4 linked regions of the Schizosaccharomyces pombe genome follow. The gene in region 4 interacts genetically with the main gene of each other region. Each region holds a gene or a part of one and is shown on either strand. Other genes may lie near its edges.

Region 1 (5,714 bases), on a different chromosome or scaffold from region 4:
AAGCGACAGTGCCCAAGCAGCCTATAGCAACTGAGATTTCAAAGCCGACTGCTGTTGCCTCCATAAAAGTATCCGGCACCGAGTTTTCTACTTTATTACATGGAAACGATGATGATGCGTTTTTCGAGTACTTAAAATCCCTCGGGCCAGCAAAGATCGATTTGGAGATTCGGTCATTGGATGCATACCCGCCTTATGAAGAATTTATATTATTTATCAATATTATGACACGAAGGCTTTCTAAAAGAAGAGATTTCGAGCTCGTCCAAGCTTGTATGTCCGTCTTTACGAAGTCACACGAGGACGTATTACTAATGCATGATACTCCCGAAGATACGGTACCTGTTTTTGAAAGTTTGAAGGCATGGGAAAGTGTTCATAAAGAAGAAAATCAGCGTCTTTTAGATTTGGTGGGCTACTGTTCGGGTATTTTGAGCTTTATGCGTACTTAATACATCTGCGTAAAAAAGTGGTAAATGTACAAAACAGGAGCAGAAAAAAAAGCAAATTAGGATGGGAAATTGTTAAAGTTTTAGGGGATATGTCATTGCTTACATTGGCTGTGTTCAAAAGGTTTTATTTCATTAGTAATTTTTGGGTAAAAAAATAAATATCTTTTAATGGTAAATGACAAAAATTGAAGGCACTATATAGTTAAAAAATCATAGAGATTGTAGCGTGCAGAAAGTAATGAAGCACATATGGAAATTCTGCAAAACCTTGGATTCCTTTCTTAATAATTTATAACAGTTGTAAGCTGAGACTCAAAATGCTCGGGTGTTTCAATTTTATTGTCTCGAAAATGCAAACGTATTTAAAGGAAAGCACTGAAGTGACCAACATCGATCTTCTATTTAGTCATGCACTCTGCTTTCTTATATTTACGAATTACCATATATTTCTACATCTTTTAGAGTTAGCAGTATAGGATAAAAATGGTGATAAATTATAAATTTATATATAAAATATACATAATATAACGTTCTACTAACTAGCTCCCGTGGCCTAATGGCTAGGGCATTTGACTTCTAATCAAGGGATTGCGGGTTCGAGTCCCGCCGGGAGCTAATATTAATTTATTTTTTCGTTACAAAAATGCATGCTAATGAAATCAATTTATTAGCATGAGTGAAGAAATACGTTTTTTTTCCTTTCCACAAAACATTCACCTACATAAACACACCTTTCAATACATAACTGATCTTTCTATTTCGACAATGCACAAAAGGGAAAGATAAGAATTTCTGTTTAAACTAAATGTAATTGTCTACTTAGTCACTGTATACTAGTGCAAATTAACTACAGAGCAATAAATGCACTTGTCAACAATACCGACTAATTGTCAGCTAATATAGGTTTAACAGTTTATGTAAAAAATCATCATCATTAAACAATAGAGTTTTCTTCCATAGTTGCAAATAGATTAGAAGAAACAAAGAGGAAATATGTCCAGTCCATGCAAATCTTGGAAAAAGGAATGTAAGATAGATAGCTATTTTTTCAAACACATCCAGTACCAGACAACAACACAGTAACCGGATGAAATTAAATACCAAAAGCAACACAGTTTTTAGTTAAAAAATATGGGATCCTTAATATGATTTCAAGGTTTCATGGAGCTATAATCACGAAGAATGTTAAGGTGTGTATTCGTAATCTTTCCACGTCGAGTTTTGGGCTTCTTTTGTTTAGGCGTTTGATTATGACCAGCACGCTTTACGGTTGAAGGATCCACGCTAGTGGGCTTTAAACCGTATTTTCCAAGTTCAGAAGCTAAATCCAAAGTGGGTGGAATGGGAATCTCATGCCAAACTTGTTGAAACTCCTTATCGACATGACAATCGCAGCTCTTGTCATTTCTCCATACCATTTTAGGAACGCCATCCTTCCTTGTACGTAATAAAAGCACTTCTCCCTGTTTTTCTAGTTCTTCAAGTTCAACAGTAACGTTGGGCCATCCGTCTCGAAGCTCTTTGATACTCATACCAACGTGGGTTTTTTGTGAATCTAAATATGCTAATAAACCTGCTCCTGAGCGAATGTTATGCAATGGCTTAAAGGTAAACGTTTCATTTCTTTCATCATAATAAATGCGATTATTTTTCTTCAAAAGATTGAGTAACATAGGAGTCAATGGAGTTGACAGGTAAGAAGCAATTTCCTCAGCCGTTTTAGGCTCATTTCTCTCTTTTAAATACTCAACTGCATAGTGTAGCTGTGATAAATAATGCGTTCCAACACCAGAATCAGCGGGTTGCGAGTAAACCAAAGACGTCTTTGAGCGCTTTTTCTTCAGGGAATACGACCCTGGACTTGAAGCGGCAGAAGAATGTCCATCATTTGAATTCAAATAAGCTGTTGGAGTCGGAGAAGCTGGTTGACGAGGTTGAGGTTTTGCATAAATAGGTTGATTTGCGACTTTCTTTTTAAACGAAGATAATTGATCGCTTAGTGAACTCATAGCCTTAAAAGTAGTTGTTAGCTTGTCGGAAATGAAACTATCAAACGGTGGGCAAATTCTGTTCAAAATTATGACCCAAGGCTTTGTTAACAAAATCGAACTTATAGACCGACAACCTTGTAAAAAAATAGAAAACAAACAAAATATTTATCTCTGTTTGCAAAATACTAAAATAAATTTAAAAGGCTATTGCTTTTAAACCAATTTCAAAAGTCCCCCCAAAAATAGTTGTTTGGCAGAGGGCAAGGTTTAGTACCTCCATTCCACGCAATATGCGAAATGATTCAGTTACCGTTTATTCAGCGTCTAAAATGGTATGCAAATCTTTTAATATATTAACTGACAAATAAAGGGAAGAGTATATGGCCCTATTTTTGGGGTTTTTCTTTGTAATCTTTGAAAAATTACTTTCATGCCTGGCCTTCATGATTCACAATACGCTAGGCTTGTTTTATCGATCAGTAGTTCGAAATGAGATTAAAAAACGTTCAAAGAAAAGATCAAGGTCGAGAAGCGTTAGCCTTCAAAGGGCAAAGGCAATTCACGATGCAGCTGACATACGAGAAATGTGCAAAATTTCTGGGTATTATGTTGAGGACCATCTCGTTAGAACAGAGGATGATTACATACTTTGTATTCATAGGATATCGAAGGATTCCCCTGGAAGAATTGGTTCTCCTCATCCCAAAAAGCTTCCGGTCGTTTACTGTCATCACGGTCTTTTGATGAATTCGGAAGTCTGGGTTTGTAATGTAGACCCCAGAAATTGCCTAGTATTTGATCTCGTAAATAAAGGATACGATGTTTGGGTAAGTATTTTGCTGCGTTCAATTTATCATATTTTAAATAATTAGTTACTGGTAAAGTTAATATGGTTTTCGTTCGAGTTTTCTTTTTTAAAAATTATTTACTAATTGTGCTTAAGCTCGGAAATAATCGAGGAAATAAATACAGTCGTCAACATCTTCGCTTCGACTCTACTGACAAGGAATTTTGGGACTTTAGCATTGACGATTTTGCTCAATACGATATTCCCGATACCATTGACTATATTCTAAAAACTTCTGGGCAAACAAAGCTCACTTATATAGGATTTTCTCAGGGCACTGCTCAAGCTTTTGCTTCTTTGAGTATCCATCCCCTGTTGAATGACAAAATCAACTCTTTGATAGCGTTAGCACCTGCAATTAGTCCAAAAGGTTTACATAACAGAGTTGTAGATGCCTTTGTAAAAGCCAGACCTTCCATATTATTTTTCCTTTTCGGACGAAAATCTATTTTGCCGTCTGCCGGATTCTGGCAAAGCTTTTTAGGTACGGTTTTTTTCTTTTAATAATTTCACTGACATTTTTATCCAGCTCCAAAATTTTTTGATGCAGTCCTTGCATACTGTTTGTCTCAGTTATTTAACTGGTCTTGCCAAAACATTTCTTCCTATCAACGCTTGGTTTCATTCGCCCATTTGTATTCATATACTAGTGTAAAGTGCCTTGTGCATTGGTTTCAAATCATGAGAAGCGCAGAATTTAGAATGTATGATAATGACCAGCTTGGTCATGACTATTTCCTCAAATATTACAAAGCTGCCAAATTCCCTACAAATAATATTCGCACCCCTATTTATCTTATTTGGGGAGGCAGCGACTCACTCGTTGATATCCAAGCGATGTTGAATGCTTTGCCTGCGGAGGTGGAGCATGTTAAGGTTGATAGCTATGAACACTTGGACATGATTTGGGCAGACACAGTTAAAGATTATGTTATACCTCCTGTACTACGAAGGCTTCGTGACATTCACCATCCACCAGAGCATGAGGAGAATGATAAAGAAAATCGTGAAATCCAAAAAAATCATATCGCTCCTAGGAATAAACCAATTTAATTTGATTGAATTGAAAGACTTTGCCTCAACACATCTTTTGTATATTTATTATTAGTTAATGTTTTCTACGTTACTATTTTATTATTGCTAGATATCGAATCCCTGATGTTATCCGTTTGTTCAAAAAAAAGAGAGAAAAAGTTTCCTAAAGGCTAAATTTTGCCTTTTTTTACTGATGACCTGTTTGTTCTCAGTTTTGTGATTATTTACGCTTATGCACACCGAAAATTTCATCTTTGAATACTTTGAAGTGTTTGTATTTTTTACTGTCATTAACAAAACCGCATTTGAAGTAGCAGGTTAATAATAATGACTGTTAAGACTGCGGTTCATAAAATTTAATTATTTTGCTTATTGTTTTTTTCAATTTCTTCTGTGCCCCGATTAATTAAGGTGTATCCGACAACCAAGGTTTGGATGCTCGATTATGTAGGCAACACAAAAATTTACATGATATGGATAGATCTTTCATAGAAATACCTCTAAATTTTGATGAATTTACTTTAGCAAGAAAAAAAAAGAATGCAATGTTAAAAACTGTTACAATAATTATAAATATACAATGGGTACCAGAAGTCGCTATGAAAACATCTGAAGTAATAAGATTACGATCAACAACTCAAAACGTGCAAATATACTCCAATTATACTAAATTCCTCTCTTATAATTGATATACTGATATTAATTGCCTCCTCAAAATACTTAGCAAACGCAAGCATTATTCCAAAAAAAAGTCGAGACGAATAACGAGCTAGACCACTGTTGGCATGCATTTTAAGGCAATGCGGTATACAAATTCCTCAGTATATCAAAATAAATAACATTAGAAAGAAAGTACTCATCTGGGAATTTTTTTTTTTTAATTCACAACTATATTTAATAAATATTTTAAATTAAAATCAGTAAATTGCTATGATGAGGTTAAAAGAAATAAGAGACACGATTTGAATTGTACTGTTATCGAATAATTTATCAAGTTAGCATGTTAAAGTTTCCACGACAAGTACCCAAAAGTCTGACTACGTGCTATTAAAGCTAGCTAATCATATAAATTAAAATCAGCCAAAACTCATAGTCATTTCACAAGTTTCTCTTTTCAGCCATTGTTTACATATGAAATTTTACTTAGTCTCCAGAACATCGTTTCTAATACCCTAACCTAAGGTAAAAACCGTCACAACAAATTTACTATATATAGGGTCTGTTCAGTTGATGATTCACCATCATCAGTAGGTTTTAACTTACTTTGTTATATAAGTAAAGTAAAATCAATCCTGAAGTCAAGTATGATGGTTGGAGTCTCCGGACCAAGAAAATGCATCCGTTCCGTCTTCAGCGAAGAATTGAGTGGCTTTCCCGGTCGTTGACTTT
Region 2 (5,754 bases), on a different chromosome or scaffold from region 4:
AAAGGAAGATTTTGGAAGTTTTATAGTTGAATGAGTTCATCTATAAATATATACATATATACATATATATAATATACAAAATATTTTTTCTTTGAGGCTTGAACTATAACTTTACAACTGTCACTTTCATTCTTACATTGTACAGCTGCCTGTATAATCTGTTTCCATTGTAGAGTTGAAATAGTACAGTAGCTTTTCTTTCTGCCAAATATTTACAGTAGTGTAGCAAGAAGCCACTATACGAGTTTTAGGAATTTATTCCGCATTGCTTTGCACTGTCCTGCGGTTTGCTATTTTAGCCAGTCGTCGTTCTTGACAAATCGGCGTTCGATCTTTAATGCCCGTTGAGATCGATTGCGTAATGCTACAACCTTATATTGAGTGTAAGCACTACCCCACAATTCGTATATATACTGTACCAACTCACTGTGTGATTCTCAACTTCAACATATCTTCCAAATAGTCAACGTATAATCAACAAAGCTCGGGACCTTGCCTAAAAGTATCTAAAACGACTTCCAAAAGCGTACCTCGAACTTGTTAAGTTTAAGGTAAGTAAAAGTGAGTATGCAAAACGATCAAGTTACATCCCAATTTGCCAGAAAAAATATTTTAAAAATGAATAAACCGACGTAAATACTACTCTTGAGACCTTTTTATACACACGAAAGTCGATATTTTTTTTGGAAAAAAGTCTTGACATAAACAGCTACGCCAGTCTTTATGTACCGTACCCGTTTCTCCGAGGTCACTAGGTACAGGACTTTCTGAAGGAATATTTTATAAGAGATGCTATACGCATATGCTTTTTTATGCTTAGAATCGGCATGAGGAGTTTGTTTGTAACCAGGATGTCGAGTAGCTTTGCTTTGCTAGTCAGTCCGTATAAACGTTATGGTGTAGGATGCGGCTACTCATGTTTGCATATATATACATATTTTATTTTCAACAAATTTTTCTAACTTTTGATATAGTGTCTAGTATCTTCTGAAGAAAAGAAGAATCAACCTTTCAACTGGACATTTTCTATTGAAATTTCTTTTACCCCCCTCTCTGTCTCACACACACTCTCTCTATTTTTTTTAAATACCCGTGTTCTCTACTTTGCTTTGCGAATTTGTACCTTTCAAAGATGTTTGCCAAAGTAGCTTTCAAAAACTTTACTCCCCTTAAGAGTATCGCTCCCCGTTCTTTTTCTACGACCTCCAGTCGCGCATTCAAAGTAGCCGTTTTGGGTGCTGGAGGAGGTATTGGCCAGCCTTTGTCAATGCTTTTAAAACTGAACGATAAGGTTAGTGAATTGGCCTTGTTCGATATTAGGGGAGCTCCTGGCGTTGCTGCCGATATTGGACATATCAATACCACTTCCAATGTTGTTGGCTATGCTCCTGATGACAAGGGACTTGAAAAAGCCTTGAACGGTGCTGATGTGGTCATTATTCCTGCTGGTGTTCCCCGTAAGCCCGGAATGACTCGTGATGATCTCTTTGCTACTAACGCATCGATTGTGCGGGACCTTGCTTTTGCAGCAGGTGAAACTTGTCCCGAAGCCAAATATCTCGTTGTCACTAACCCCGTAAACTCTACTGTGCCCATCTTTAAAAAGGCTTTAGAACGTGTTGGCGTTCATCAACCCAAACATTTGTTTGGTGTCACCACACTTGACTCTGTTCGTGCCAGCCGTTTCACCTCTCAAGTCACTAATGGCAAGGCAGAACTTCTTCATATTCCTGTTGTTGGCGGTCATTCCGGTGCGACCATCGTACCTTTGTTGTCCCAAGGCGGTGTTGAATTGACTGGTGAAAAGCGTGACGCACTTATTCACCGTATCCAATTTGGTGGTGATGAGGTTGTAAAGGCGAAGGCTGGTGCTGGAAGTGCGACCTTGTCTATGGCCTATGCCGGTGCTCGTATGGCCTCCTCCGTACTCCGTGCTTTGGCTGGTGAGTCTGGCGTTGAGGAATGCACCTTTGTGGAGTCCCCTCTGTACAAGGATCAAGGAATTGATTTCTTTGCCTCTCGTGTAACTTTGGGTAAGGATGGGGTTGACACCATTCACCCTGTTGGTAAAATCAATGATTATGAGGAGAGCCTTCTTAAGGTAGCTTTGGGTGAGCTGAAAAAGAGCATTACGAAGGGTGAGCAATTTGTAGCATAATCTTTTATGAATAACAGAAATGATATGATATTCTTTATGAATGTTTGTTTTCTCTTGCTTCTTTCGTGTGTGTTATTTCTTTTACTTTAGTCAAAAAGTAATCTGTATACTGCATTCATAGTGTAGGTATGAATGTAAAAATTATGTTACAAGGTTTCCTTTTATATGTGCGGTTGTATAGAAATTTCATATCTATTGAATTCCGTTTTTACAGTCGAATAGATGAGGGTTTTCAATATGCGGAGTTTTGCGAAAAGCGATGATTCAAATTTACAATAACCACTAAAAGAAAATTGTTAAACAAGTAATAGATAATAAGTTTTCCATTCATTCGACATTTGCGGTTCTTGAGTTGTTGGCCTTATTTATCTAGTATCGTTTCAAAGCCATCAATTTAATAAGGCCATGGCATATAAGACAGAACAATTGTTCTTTGATTAATTCTTTACAAACTAAACTTTGATAATGATATGCTACAGAACTTTCAATAGCATTGTAATATTAACTTCTCTGACCAACCCAAGTTGAACTTGCAAAAAGCCATCCATTACTTACATCTTAATAGAAATGGCGATTACAAGTGAAAAAAAGAAAAATTTAAAGTCATTGGATAAAATTGACATAAAATTAGTAAGAAATTTTTTTTTTAATTTCAAATTATCGTGCAATTTACTTACAAATAATCAATAGCTAGAGAAAACAATTAGAGCCCTGCTGCAGCACATTCGATCCTCTGATAAACCTATTGAAAAAGAAAAGGTTTATATTCAGGTTAATACATTCCAACCCGTTGAGAAAGAGTCGCTTAGAAGACCATCAAAAGTGTAAGTGAGCATTAATGATGAATTAAGTTTCCTGAAGTAATAAGATCAACAATAAAATTTTTGTTCTTATAATTACTTAAAACCTTAAGCTTCTACTGCTTGTGCAGAAATAAAGAGGTATTACGGTTTTGTTGATTTGCTAATAAATCAAGCTTGTTGTAACATTCATAGAATCGATGCGTGTTCTTCATTAAAATTATAAGGTACTAACTATTTTACAGATTCCTTCCGCACAGGATAATGCATGTAACAGATGCTTGTTTGATTGTGAAAGATTCACAGCAGACATATCAAGATCTGGTGGAGCAACAAGGGCTTGACGAAGTCATTACAAAAGTACTTAGCATCCCGAGATTGAAATTAAAGTATAAAACAATCCGAGAAAAATGTGAGCTACGAGACTCTCACAACCTTTTTTTGGTTGATGATCGTGTATTAAAATACATCCCCCTATTGATGGGGAAAGTTTTTGAACAGAAAAAAATTAAGCCATTTCCTATTTCTGTTTTACAAAAGAAAGAGACTTTGCGTAATCAAGTTGCTCGTTGTCTTCATTCTACTTATCTTAAGTTATCTGCCGGCACTAGTCATACCATTCTCTGTGGTTTGGCCACTCAAACCAATGAACAATTGTTGGAGAATATTACGACTGTATTGAAGTGTCTGCTAACTAATTTCATTCCGAAAGGGTGGTCTGCAATTGATAATGTTGCGATTAAAACAGCTGACAGTGCCTCTCTGCCAATTTGGACTAGTGACACCAATCTTGCTGCTCATAAAAGACACATTGTGCACATTCAAGATGCAAGACCTCTTAAGAAAAGTGAACTGCGTGCTCAAAAACGGGGTTCTTCTGGAGAAGGCAAAGGGAATAAGTGAAACTGACTTTCGCTTTCCTAAATTGAAAAAAAAAAGTATTTTAAAATAATTACCATTTTTCTACTAAGGCTAGAAGAAAGAGTTTTGACAATGTATTTATAAACACCATTTGACTTTGCCTGTTTCAAATTTCTGATACATTTCTTTCCTTCGATGTTAATTAGTTATGTGAAAAAGCTTTGAGTGGCTGAAAGCAAAAGGGATTTACAAGGGCACGTCTTTTATAAACGGGTATTTTGGACTGAGTAATAAATAAGGGTTTTTGTGTATAACAAGTGTCATGGACTATTGTCATGATTTTGGAACAAAATCTACACCGTCTTGTGTTTTGTAGTATTATTTTTTTCTCGTAAATAACATGTTATATTTACATAATCTATCTGCTTATATGTAGCTTGTTCATTCAGAAGGATTTTAGTACCTTTAGATACTGAAAGTAGTATATAGAGCTATTCTCTACCACTCCAACGCTCAAGCAATTGACAACATCCAAACTTGTCCAAAGTAAAGAAAATTTAGTGTCAAAATGTTTTCTTGGAGTATTTTATTTATAGTTTGCTTTTCTTTAGTATCAGCATTTAAAGATACTTCGCCGATTTTCTTATTTTCTACGAACTCGTATGTCCTGCATCCATCGATGGCATTATACTGTGTAAATTATTTAATCTAACTAAAAACAGCAAACTCCCCAAATCATCCGATGATTCTTCAATATCCACTTGCCCTATGATGTTTTTTGACGCCGCAATTGAGGCACTTTCGACATGCAATACAGCTACCTTAATTATACATCAACCAGGCCTTGAGGTTAATGATTTTCAGTTGGGAGCTTTTAAACATTTAAAGCGTGTTTCTTTGCAATCACCCTATAGCTTACTTCTTCCTTATTCCAAGGAGTCTTTGGACTCACAAGAGTTGGTGCATTCGGCAAAGCAAAACTGCGACGTTGAGGTAGTTTACTTGGGTGGATCCTTTAATGCTTTTCCTCCTCTTCAAAATGATCGCATAACTGTTGTTTACATGAATGAACTGTCAAATGAAAGTTATCATAGAAGTGCACAATTAATGGAATTGGATGAAATGTTCTACAACTTACAATCTACCTTGGAACAAGATGCTCAGTGGAATGTAATTATAGCCTCTTCTCCTTTGAATAACTCAGATTTTGAAGGATTTAAGGTTGATGCTAACGAAGAAGAGGCCAATGCTGAATTTGTAATTCAAACGCTAGGTGGTCTCAACTCAGGGAAGAGTGCTCTTCAACACGGCCAATTGGCTTCTTTACCTGATCAAAATGAGGGATCACAAACCACGCTTGCTATGCACCAAACAAGGAAGCACCCTGTCACCGACAATGGTGCGACGGGACTGTTTACCGAATATCAATTTTTTACTCCTGGTTTGTACATGGGTTATTTGGCATTGGCTGTATTGGTTCCAACTTTGTTTATTTCTTGCCGTTTACTTTCCTCTATTCAAATCAGCTATCACGCTTTTGATAGTCCTCGACGCAAACAGTTATAAACCTCTTCTTAAGGTGAATAAGCTGAAGAAGTTTCAATTTATTTCTTTCTTTCATAATTGATACATCTCACACTTAATTTAGAAGAAAATTATTGTCATAAATGGTTCTTGATAAGTATAGTTTGGTGACATTTTTACCTTTCAGCGCAATTCCTTAGGTGTCCAAATGGTTAGAATGATCTTTGTTTTTTAATATATTGAAGTCTATTAAATAGTTTTTTGGACTGAAGAATTTATTTCTTGTGATGAGACAAACTTTATAACCATAATATTGTTTTTTCTTTATGATGATTCTCTACGGAAGGTGAAAGTTGTTGGCATCATGTAGTCAGCATAACTTTGTTTTGCTTTTTGTATTCTATTCAATTA
Region 3 (6,470 bases), on a different chromosome or scaffold from region 4:
GTACAAAAAATGTTAGGCTTAGTTACCCTCGTTGGGGCGATTTTTTGCCGCTTCGTTCCAAAAATCAGATCTGAGTTTATCTAGACGATTAGATGGTTAGCAATTTATTTAATAGTTTTACGCAAAGGGAAAACATACAGCACCAGCAAACATAAAGAGTGAGATACAGTTCGTAGTATAGCATCTCGATAATAAAAATCCACTTGTAGGGAACTTCATAATGTTCCAACGCAAAGAATATTGGAAGTAAACCAAGCAGTACCCACCAAGTTTGGATGAGCGCAATGCTGCATAACCACCAGTAACTAATTTTATAAATTTTTTTAATCTCTTCCAAGGGAAGAACTTGTGGTTTTACCTCTTGTAGGTTTGCTGCACCACTTGCGGCTTCATAACTGGGCAAAGTTTCCTCCATTGTGCAATATCTAATTTGTTAGAATGAAATTAAGATGAAATACATAGGCAACTATAAAAGCGACTAAAATCAAACTAAAAAAGAAGGTCTGTTTAAATAACAGTCGCAAATTTGTGAATTGAGCGTGCAGCATTCTCACCTACCTTTCTCAATCTGCAGAGGTAAGAGATCCAAAGAAGGCTAATTTATGTACTTAAGTTTTTTGTTTTAAAGAAATTGGAAAAGAACAAAGGAGTAAGCCTCTTATAAGCAACTGTTGAGGGCATTATGTATGCATATACAAATGCCCTTGACGACAAAACAAATACTATAGAATTCGCTCAACAATACGCAGAAAAAAAAACCGTACAGCTAAACGTCTAGCCACCCCTGGCTTAGCTATATTGATTTTGTAAAAATAGACTCAGAAGTAAAGATTACGCTATCTTTACGACACCATAACTGACAATGTTTTGCTAAAAGAAAACTAATTCTTCGCTCCAAAAACTCTTGGAATTTGTTTAATCAATTGATCAATTAACGAAAAAGTTTATGTAGCGATTTCGTGCCATACTCGAGAAATGGCTTATTGAAGGTTTGGAAAAGTAAATAATAAGAGCGATTTACCAGCTTACAACTATTTTCGGACATTTGAGGGTCTCTAACTTCAAAAGAAAAGGAATTTATTTCGGTATAAACTGTTCATGTTTAGACAGCTTCATTTTAAAAAATATGCTGGTTTTTTCATTAAAGATATTTTCGGCCTCATACTTTTGAGATGTAGCATTTTGTTTTAGCTAAAAAACATGTTACTCATTGAAAAAAATAAGCTTAACAAAACGAAAGTAAGTGGTTCGTTTCTCTAAGCTTAAATTAAGGACGCACATTACGCATATCTTAAAATGATATTTCAGGATCTTTGTGATAACGAAGCCTAACCACAACCATATAGGATTTGTATTATTTCTTGCTTTATTACATACCATTGCTCAGTTCTGAGTACAATTAACAAACAAGAAAATATTAAATTTATTGAAGTAATAACTTTTTAACGATTTTTTAAGTAAACGACTTCATTTCTCCTTCTTTTCGTGTTCTCCCAGAGTTCAGTCAATTGTTGCTGAAACAAGAGTTTTTAGCTTTATTCCTTGTCAGTATCAAACTTTTCAGCCATTTTTTTATATTGATATTCGATTTTGAAACGAATATCACTTTTTTTCAAAGAGTTTTTTGCCAAACGTGTTTCCAACGCGTTGTTTTTCTCTAGAGTAAACAAGGTACCTTACCCCAACAACACTCTGAGTTTTTTTAAGCTAACGTTTGAAAAGGTTTCGGTAAACTGTATCTAAGGTATTTTTACGAACATAATCGTAAGTAAAAACGGACATAAGTCACGGCTAGAACTTTTGGATGTCAATGGTTAACGATATATATATTGATCAGACATATAACTGCGGAAAATACAGCTTAAGGAAGGCGCTAAAACGAGATTTTTCTGTTAATTTGATTTTGTCGAAATTCATTCTTTCCGTTTCTTAAGTACAATATATCGACAGTCATTTTAAAGATTTGACTTTTGTGAATATGTTTTTAGGTTTGGATCTCTCAACTCAGCAGCTCAAGGGCGTGGTCATTGATGAGTCTTTGAACGTGCATCAAGAGGTTGCCGTCGATTTTGATCGGGATCTAAGTGATTACAACACTATCAAAGGGGTCTACAGGAATGGATATGAGGTTTTTGCTCCAGTATGTATGTGGCTAGACGCCATCGATTTACTGTTTGAGAGACTTAAGGCTTCTGTGGATGTTAGCAAAATACAAGCTATATCTGGTGCCGGTCAGCAACATGCAAGCGTTTTCCTGCTTAAGGGAAGTAAAAAAGCCCTCAATTCGTTGGATGCCAAATCTTCTTTAAAACAACAATTGGAAAGTCTCATTCATCCAACATCTCCAAATTGGCAAGATGCCAGTACTACCAAAGAATGCGAGGAGCTTGAATCTTGCATTGGTGGAGCCAAAGCACTAGCGGACCTTACTGGGTCTAAAGCTCACCTACGCTTTACTGGACCCCAAATCAAGCGTTTTCGTCGTTTGCACCCCGAGACATACGAAAATACCGAACGAATTGCACTTGTCTCTAATTTTCTAGCCTCGGTACTTCTGCAAACCGAGGCACCTTTAGACATCAGTGACGTTTGTGGAATGAATCTCTGGGACATTCAGAATGAGAAATTCGATATTCGCTTGTTGGAAGAAGTTGCTGGTAATTCTAAAGGACCCGACTTGGCTAACAAACTAGGTACGGTTGAGATTAACGGGGCAAAACATCTAGGACCAATTGGGAAGTATTTCGTTAAGAAGTATGGGTTTTCTCCTAACTGTCAAATCATTCCTTTAACTGGAGATAACCCTGCCACTATTTTATCCCTTCCTTTAAGACCGGGAAAAGATGTACTATTATCATTGGGTACTAGTACTACTGCTCTAATGGCTACTCAAAACTATGTGTGTTCTCCAGAGTATCACATGTTTGCTCATCCTGTTACGCAGAACGTAAGTTGAACTTGACTTTCTTTTGGTGAAGTAGTTGTTCAAAACTCATCATTTTCTCTGGTTTTCTAACTAACATGGACTTTAGCATTATATGGTAATGTTATGCTATAAAAACGGTAGCTTAGCGCGGGAACAGGTAAGAAACACAATCAATGAAAAATATAATGTTTCGGACAATACCAGTTGGGACCGCTTTAATGAATCGATTTTGAACCCCAACATTAAAGGTGCTGGTGAAAAGAAACAGCTCGGTCTTTTTTATCCACAAAGGGAGATTTTACCCGCAGTTGGACCGGGTACGTGGAGATTTGCAATCCAAGGCACCGAGTTGTATCAGGTGGATAAAGATGAAGAATCATGGGATTATCCAGATGAGGATGCTTCTGCCATAGTTGAAAGTCAAAATCTTGATATCCGCATGCGGATTACTCCTTTGCTAACTGGTATACCACAACCTGATCGTGTTTATGTTGTAGGAGGAGCTAGTCGTAACGAGGCTATTGTGTTTAAAATTAGCCAGGTTTTGGGATGTGATGTTTATCGGCTAAAACACGGCGGTAGTAATGCCTGTGCTGTTGGCGTAAGTGAACGGAAAATGTTGTTAATTAATAGTTACTGACCATCAATTTAGGGCGCTATCAAGGCTGCATATGCAATGAATGGAAAAGGATTTACCTTTGAAGAATATGTAAACAAATCTTGGGATGAGTCCAAGAAAATTGAACTAATCATGAATAAACCATCCGCCCAAACTTATGAAGAATATGGAAAGCTTTTACCTTTCCTCAAAAAGGCTGAAGACATTGCGATTCAACAGTCAGATATCCGGCATTGAATTGATTAAATGCTTTTCCATTTCGCACTTGATTATGTGATTAGCTATTGATATAACGAGATTATTAATGAAAGCGAAATCCACTTTTTTTTTTAAAAAATATGAATAAACCTTAGGATACAAAATGATAAACGTTTCCTACATGAACATTTTTTTGAGCTATCGTTTTGAGAGCTTTGAATCACGAGTCTAAATTAAGACAAATAAATATGTAACATAAAGTAGTCATACACCATATTATTAAACAAATTTTTGCATACGCTTTTACATATAAGTAACACAATTTAAGCAGGAAAAAGCGTTTAAACATAAACAAATATAAAAAGGCTTGAGTAACAAAGACAATTTTTAAAAACATACACAAGTTATTTATTTACAAAGGAGTGTAGGGTTGCTGTAAGGTTAGTAGATAGAATGCAATATTTTAAGGTACATTTTCTTTTCAAGTAATGAAGTACCATGGACGAAAAGGGAAATTGCAAAAAAATAATTAGAATAGAATAGAAATCGTCAGCTAGAGAAGTGCAAAGTAATAAAGCGGTAGTTGGAAATACATTAATACGAATATGGGATAGAAATATTACACGAAAGAAAAACATAAAAATTAAAAGAGTGCATAGGGAAAATTAGAGTCGTTATTGATCCAAAAATGATTCCCAACGCTCAATAATTTCTTTTTGAGATTCAATTGCAGATTCCAACCACGTTTCAACACTAGCTTTGAGATCATCAACTCTACTGGTTGTGAGAGAACTCAAATCTCGTTTTAACAGAGTTGTTGATTCCGAAAACTCTTTTTCCAGATCAGCAGCTTTTGCTCGATATTTTTCGTATTGTTCTTCCAAGTAAGGGAGTGATTTTTGCTGAGATTTCGCTTGCTTTTTACATTTCTCAAGTTGAGTTTTAGCACGAGAAACAGCTTGAACTGAAGATTGCCATGTCTGCCACAACTTTTGACGTGTAGTAAAGGCATTTTTGGCACTCTCCACGTACCGAATGTACTCCTCCAATGTAGTGCCCAGTGTCAAATTGTCTTGAGCAACCTTACGTTCTTGTACAAATCGAAGCTCTACCTGGAGTTGGGAAAGACCATCAAACTTGGATGATAAGGTGGGCTCTAAATCAACTAAAGATAAATTTCCAACAGCCTCGCCAAAATCATGGATGGCTGAAGCGAACTGTATGCGTTGATCTATGGATAAAAGAAGCGCGTGATAAACCGACTTTAGTTGAGTTTCCAACGAATCAAGTGTATCCTTTGCTTCAATTAAAATTGGATCCTGTTCGGAAAATTTAGAAGATCCAGAGGTATGGAAGGCGGAGGTGAATGAGTCAAGTAAACCAGATGTTGAGGGACCTGAGCGCAAAGGACTTGATGAACTCTCAATGAGAGTAGTACGATGTGTCATTCTAGGGTCAAATGTCTCTGCTTCAAGAAACAACTTAAATGAGTAATCATCACGTAGAACCGGATGGGCAGATATTTTGCGAAGCATTACCTCCAAGGCTGCTCGTCGCTGTTCAATAAATTCATCATCAAAACGGCCTACAACCTGCTTTTCCGGGATGGGAGGAATGATACAACCCGGATGATTATTAGAAAGCAATTGATAAAGAAAAGCAAAATCATTATATCGTCTTTGTACAGTCACATTGCTAACAGAAGGTTGATTGTGTTCCTCTAAACGAGTGGAAACCGAATATACGGTATGCGATTTAGTGATTTCCTTAACGGTATGAGGGTCATGAACTTGGATGTAAAACGGGGTAAGAGATTGAGGTGCCGCTGCCGGGTGCGCCTTCTGATTCTCCGTATCTGTTAATGAGGTTGAACCTTGCTTCTGGGAGGAGGCAGATGAGACAGTGTGTGTAAAATTTGGAGCAGAAGATGAGGCAGCGTCTAAAGTATCTACCGTCTGTTCTGAATTTGGTATAGTGGGATTTTCCGTTGCTCCGATAGGAGAAGGGGAAAAGGAGTTCACTTCTGAGATCCAAGGCTTATTTGCAGAAAAATCTGCATTCAAAGCGGGACTAGATCCTTTTAACGGATTAATTTTTGTATTTAAACCAACTTCCAAACGGTTGTTTTCGGGTGCCATAGAAGGTGCATCAGAAAATTGCAAGGGACCTAAAGGTGCAGAATCCAAAGTTAACGTTTCAAACGGAAGAGATTTCAAATTGACGCTTCGTTTCCTAGGAGATGTATAGATATGAGTTTTTGGTGGAGAAGCTTGAACATTCGGCGACTCTTCTTCCACTCCTTCAGCTGAGGGCTCTTGGTCGGTTTTTGGAGGGTTCAGTGGAGAAACGGAATCTGCGAATGGATTAAATGCATCGTCTTCTTCATATATATTATGCCCAAGCATGATGGTGGCCGGTTGGGTTTTTGGATCTGATCACTGAAATCGTGCCTGAAATGGTGATGCGCAGCCCAACGACGACTAGCGAAAAATAACGATGGTTAAATACGTTTAGCAATGCGGGGTGACTTGCGGTGCAACTAGATAAGTGTCAACAATTCAAGTTTCTAATTCCTTTTAAGGCTACATTAAATTATATTTAGCTTGTAGAAGCAGTATATTGCGTTATACAGTATTGTGAGTGGTGGGTGATAATATATTTATCATTGTAACAGCTAATAACTGGACTGAGAATGATGCTCTGTTCAATCTAGACTTCTAATTTTAA
Region 4 (5,627 bases):
AATATTATTAACTACTTATTAAAACATGTTAAATAAAGCATGAACAATTCCAAGCAATTTTTGAAGTACCAACCCTTACTTGAATGGCTAGCAAAACACGAAGCTTACATTTCACCCAAACTGTATATCGCTTCAAGTGGGGTCGCAGGAGATGGTATATTTTCTACCTTTGATATAGATGAACTTGAAGTTTTAGCAAAGATTCCTAGAAGGATCATTCTGAGTCCTCGCAACTCAAGATTTGGAGATTCGTTGTATACACATTTTAATGAATCTAATCGGTCTGATGATATTAACTTTGACAATAGAGATCAGGTTGGGCTGGTCATGCTCGTTATAACTGTAATATTGGAAAATATAACAGATAGTCCGTGGAACGCTTATTTAAACACCTTGGACGAAACTTGTATGCCTGATTCCCCATTATTATGGAAAGATAAAACGTGTCTTGAGGGAACCTCAATGCTTGATGTAATAAATACAAATTTAAGAGTATACAAAAATCAATATGATCAATTGGTCCGCCCTTACTTTTATAAACATGCTGATCTCAAACAGCTTTGTCCAAAATGGAATCAGTATTTAGAGACTTGTGTTCTCGTCCAAAGCAGGTGTTTTTACGTTAACAGCTACTACGGTTTATCTTTAATACCCTTTTTCGATATTTTTAATCACAAGTCTGGTCCAGCTATTGCTTCGCTACATTGTCAGGAGTCAAATGATCATAAAGGCGATATCAAAATAGAATTTATTTCTTTTCAGTATATACGAAAGATGTCCGAAATATTCAACTCCTTCGGAAACTTTGCCGCTGATGAATTGTTCACGCAGTATGGATTTATTGATACCGCTTGCAAAGTTTGGCGCGTCGACATGACAATGATTGCTTATGAAACTAACAGAAATTTTTATATGGAGTGGATTCATAAAAAAAGAATAATCAACACCCAGGAGTTGCTGGTCACCCCAACTACATACGCAAATGACAAGTCTGAGACTTTACGTTCAGTAATGATAAGACAACCTATGGATCTTTATATAATAACAGATCATGGTCCCAGTTACGGGCTTTACTTATATTTATTTTTTTGCATTTACAAAATCAAATTCCAAAAGTGCGATATGAATATAGTAATGCTTACAAAGTATTTTAATGAAATCTGGGCTGTGTTTATAGCACATAAGGAGGGAGAAAAAGAAAAGGTTGTTGCTCAACTCTCTGGTTTTTCTTTTTATTGTAAGGCTATAGAATTTCTACAGATGCTGTGTCAAAAGCGCATTAGTCGTTTCAAAAATGGTGGGTTGACTGCTGAAGCTTATAAGACTCTATTGTGCGATCCGACTCTTAAACGAGAGAATAGGTCTCGTTTAGTCTTACAAATTTTTTATCATGAACTTAATTTACTCGAAAAATCAATGCAAGAAACAATTTATCTTTGTACTGAAAATTTTGAAGATTAAAAAAACAACATACAACGGTTGGAAATGTTGCATAAAAGGAAAAGGTAAGATCGAAGTTCAGCTTAAATTTTAATCATAATTTTGTGCCCTTCTTAATTAACATTGTAGTAACTTTATGATGTTTTCCAAAACCCTGCATCGTTCCCTTTCTAGATGTCCTGTGTAATAAATAACCTATTTGCCATTTCAAACTTTCGGTATAAACAGCATCAGAAATATGAAAGCGTCAAATTAAGCAAATGAATTAGTAGGCATAGAAATAAGAAATCCGATGACAATTTAGATGAAAACCAGTGTAGAGCACATAAAGTGTACAATTTGTGAAGGAATAACATAATATTAATCGTGCATGGTAAACTATGCTTTCCATGGCATTCTTTCTTATGAGAAAAGGAAGTAGAAAACGCATTTATAAAATGACTTTACTGAAAATACATATGGCATCTTTTTCCCTTTAGTTAATTAAACTAAATGATAAAATATTAAAATTAGTCACCGTCTTTGATGATTTGGAGATCAAAATATCCCGGAAATAGTTTTTTGAACCGCAAAATTCCAAACTGTTAAGCTAACCGATCCTACATGCCATGTTAGTATTTCAGCTGCCATTGTGATAAATGAAAATAAAAATAAAAAAAAGATTTTCAGAATTTTCATTAAAAACAACATACCGTAGATTGATCGTGGAAGAGATAGCACCCATAGAGCCCAAGAAGGAAGCAAGAATGCAGGGAGGAAAAAGACAGGTGTTTTGGACTCTTTGAATTGAATATAAAACCGGAATCCACGGGTTAAAATCCAAAGAAAAAGGCTTAAAACCCGCTTGAAAGTATCTTGGAAAATTTTAACATTGGCTGATTGTTTTTCCCACTCTTGACTGAGTTGTTCATACTTTCTATTCAGACGGGCCCATTTAGCAAACTGATCTTGACTGCTAGTAGCGTTTAGCTCTTTCTTAACAGTAAGCAGCTGCTCTAAAATTTCTTTGTTCTTCTTTAAATCTTTATTATTAGAAACACTAACGTAAATTCGATAAGCCTTTCACATTATTAGTTTTCTTTACAACAAGTATATATGTTAAATTACCCCATCAATAGTCCTTTTTTTTGCAAATTTATCGAAGAAATGAATAAATAAGCTTAATAAAATTGTTGAAATAATCAGATCCATCATAAAATATGGACTTGTAAGAAAGTACAGTGGTTAGTGTCAAACGTGTAACTGTTGAGTATCACGCTCCCTATGACATGCTGGTCTAAAGGTCGAAACTAAACACAAGTTTGTTTGTTACGATATTAGCTATTTTGTGTTAGAAAATAATAATCTATTAACCTTTTAAAGTTCAGAAGAATTGATGTTAAGTATATTTATCTAGCTTCTGTAATATTAAATAGAAAAAATAGATAAAATAGCTATATGATATTCAATTGACAAATACTTTGATCATGAGATCCATGAAAGTAACTATTTTCATTCATAACGCTTTATTTAAATTCAGTAAATTGACAAATTAGGCAGAAGGTTGTTGAGGAGATGGGGGGATTGGTGGATTTCGAGGATCGTGATCATTTTTATACTCAGACTGACGCATAAGTTCAGAAATATTTAAATGTTTGTATGCATATGGCCTTGGTCCAAGAATCGTCTCAACTTCGTTATAAGTGATGACTTCTTTCTGTAATAGACGTTGAGCAATATTTTCTAAGCCTTGCTTATGTTCTAGCAAAAGTTTCTTAGTTCTTTCGTATGCATGCTTTACAAGCTTTCGAATTTCTTCATCAATCATTTGAGCTGTAGCCTCAGAAAATGGTTTTTGAACAGTTTCCCGAGTGTCGATGGGATAAGCTATAGTACCAACAGTCGGAGACATACCATATTGGGTCACATACGCTTGAGCCATGCGCGTTACTTTTTGAAAATCATCGGAAGCTCCCGAAGTAATCTTTTCTGGTCCAAAAAATATTTCTTCAGAAACACGCCCAGCCAAAGCCATTCCCATTTGATCTAAAATCTGCCCTCGACTCATCAGATACTGATCTTTGGGTAAATAACTAGCATAGCCAAGGGCTTGAGCTCTAGGAATGATTGAGACCTTCAATAGTGGATCGACGTACTCCATAAACCAACCAGCTACCGCATGTCCAGCTTCATGATGAGCAACGGTGTTTTTTTCTTCAGGACTTAGTACCCTACTCTTCTTTTCCAAACCTGCCGTGACTCTTTCAATAGCTTGCTCAAAATGTACCATTTGGACTTCATTACTATTTGATCGTGCTGCAATTAACGCTCCTTCATTACATACATTCATTATATCAGCTCCTGTAAAACCAGAAGTTAGGACGGCAAGACGCTTGGCAATTAAGTCGATGTTATCGGCTGCCTTAATATGCTTAAGGTGGACCTTAAATATTTGTTCACGACCGCCAATATCAGGACGATCAATCGTAATTTGACGATCGAATCGACCAGGACGTAGAAGTGCCGGGTCCAATACGTCTGGTCGATTAGTACCAGCGAATACGACGATATGTTCGCTAGACGTAAAACCGTCCATTTCAACTAATAGCTGATTAAGAGTGCTTTCGCGTTCATCATTGGAACCAAATTGTCCTCCACGTCCTCTTGCTTTACCAATTGCATCAATTTCATCTATGAAAATAATACAAGGAGCGTTCTTGCGAGCAGTAGCAAAAAGATCTCTTACGCGGGAAGGTCCAACACCAACAAACATTTCAAGAAACTCAGAACCTGACACACTTAAAAAAGGGACGTTAGCTTCACCAGCGGTGGCTTTAGCAAGAAGAGTTTTACCGGTACCAGGAGGACCAGAAAGAATGGCACCACGAGGAATTTTAGCCCCCAACCTTTCATAAAACTTGGGATTTTTTAAAAATTTGACGAATTCCATAATCTCTTCTTTAGCCTCGTCAACGCCAGCGACATCAGCAAATTTTATTTTGATATCAGTTTCATGATTAAACATCTTCGCTCGGCTCTTACCAATTCCAAAAATGCCACCTTGACCACCTCCTGCGGCACCCGAAGCCCGTCGCGATAAATAAATGACACTTCCAATGATCAGTAAGGTGGGAGCAAAAGACAATAAAGTAGCAAGAACAGAGACTTCGTCATGATAAGCGACAGGGACAAATTCAGAAGGTGGAATACCCAGTTGACGTTGTGCATCCTCTAGTTTTCGATCGAAAGAGTCGATGGAACCAATTGAAAAATAGTACTGCCCTGAACCTGAAGCTACACCGCCTCTCAAAATAACTCTAACCATATTGCGGTTAACAACAACTAGCCGTTCAACTAAACCCTTGTCTAAAAACTGTTGTCGAAAATCTTGCCAAGTAATTTCTTGCATATTTGCATTAGGCGAGAGAACATTGTAAAGGATATAGGCAACTAAAATTCCACCTAAAATAGTGTTGCCATTTAAGGCTATTTCAAAAACTTTTTTCGGATCATTGCCATTCAATCCCTTCTTTTTTGAATCATCATTTTTCTGGCCATTTTTCCTACCATTAGCATCAGAATTGGATCCTGAAGACCCATTTTGCGATCTTTTTGAGGTTACGCTAAATTGTTTAGATGAAATGAGAGGGATTTTATGTTTTTCCGGTATTCCTTTATTTATTTTAAGGGACTGAAAAGATCTCTGAGAAAGTGAGAGAAGAGAAAATTGTGAAACAGCTGTGGAACGTGTAGAAAAAGTATAAGCCCTTGCCAAACGCAAAGAAGAAAAATTATCCTTCTTTACGAATTTAGAAACCAGGTAATCTCCTGTTTTCCTAGTAGGTGCCCTAAACGTCAAAAAGGGATTTCGCATAAGGAATATTATATGGAAATAAGTCGCAGGGTACAATAACTTGAATTGAGCGTGTAAGGGCAAGTATAATATATAAAACCCTCAATATCGAAAGAGATAAACGTAAATGATTGTTTTAAGAAAAATATCCTTCGTATATGACGAGTAAAGGTGGATTCTAGAATTAAAAAATTCAAGAAAGCAGTAATTAATCGTTCAATTCAGTAATTGAGACCAAAACGAATAGAGACGAAAAGTTATAAGGTTGTATTAAAATAAAAATTTATTATTACCTCCGGACATGGATTTGGGCAACCTCCAAAAAGCGTTATGAAATTGAAGAAATTCCAATGTT

What was found.
Region 1: mutations in get1 (region 4) and tfa2 together harm fitness more than expected from each alone (negative genetic interaction), as found in Schizosaccharomyces pombe (2 studies listed by BioGRID).
Region 2: mutations in get1 (region 4) and SPOM_SPCC306.07C together harm fitness more than expected from each alone (negative genetic interaction), as found in Schizosaccharomyces pombe (2 studies listed by BioGRID).
Region 3: mutations in get1 (region 4) and xks1 together harm fitness more than expected from each alone (negative genetic interaction), as found in Schizosaccharomyces pombe (2 studies listed by BioGRID).

The regions. Positions count from the first base shown.
Region 1 is NC_003421.2:577,853-583,566, forward strand, and holds tfa2 (transcription factor TFIIE subunit Tfa2), read right to left. Parts: upstream 2,706-5,714; 5' UTR 2,462-2,705; coding exon 1,604-2,461; 3' UTR 1,368-1,603; downstream 1-1,367. Other genes in the region: U3 snoRNP-associated protein Utp21, read left to right, coding at 1-452; SPOM_SPCC1672.09 (triglyceride lipase-cholesterol esterase), read left to right, coding at 2,741-2,775, 2,814-3,270, 3,387-3,774, 3,820-4,343. UniProt on the Schizosaccharomyces pombe protein: Recruits TFIIH to the initiation complex and stimulates the RNA polymerase II C-terminal domain kinase and DNA-dependent ATPase activities of TFIIH. Both TFIIH and TFIIE are required for promoter clearance by RNA polymerase.
Region 2 is NC_003421.2:418,107-423,860, reverse strand, and holds SPOM_SPCC306.07C (U3 snoRNP-associated Cic1/Utp30 family protein), read left to right. Parts: upstream 1-2,690; 5' UTR 2,691-2,725; coding exon 2,726-2,788; intron 2,789-2,848; coding exon 2,849-2,982; intron 2,983-3,161; exon of another isoform or gene 3,162-3,203; coding exon 3,204-3,861; 3' UTR 3,862-4,232; downstream 4,233-5,754. Other genes in the region: mdh1 (malate dehydrogenase), read left to right, coding at 1,133-2,158; family protein BIG1, read left to right, coding at 4,388-4,479, 4,542-5,385. UniProt on the Schizosaccharomyces pombe protein: Involved in rRNA-processing and ribosome biosynthesis.
Region 3 is NC_003421.2:702,285-708,754, reverse strand, and holds xks1 (xylulose kinase), read left to right. Parts: upstream 1-1,856; 5' UTR 1,857-1,978; coding exon 1,979-2,947; exon of another isoform or gene 2,948-3,032; coding exon 3,033-3,527; exon of another isoform or gene 3,528-3,578; coding exon 3,579-3,782; 3' UTR 3,783-3,945; downstream 3,946-6,470. Other genes in the region: protein meu15, read right to left, coding at 27-80, 139-415; retromer complex subunit Vps5, read right to left, coding at 4,418-6,148.
Region 4 is NC_003423.3:4,315,954-4,321,580, reverse strand, and holds get1 (GET complex subunit Get1), read right to left. Parts: upstream 2,673-5,627; 5' UTR 2,635-2,672; coding exon 2,548-2,634; intron 2,500-2,547; coding exon 2,133-2,499; exon of another isoform or gene 2,040-2,132; coding exon 1,978-2,039; 3' UTR 1,462-1,977; downstream 1-1,461. Other genes in the region: SPOM_SPBC16C6.01C (lysine methyltransferase), read left to right, coding at 40-1,461; m-AAA protease Yta12, read right to left, coding at 2,972-5,293.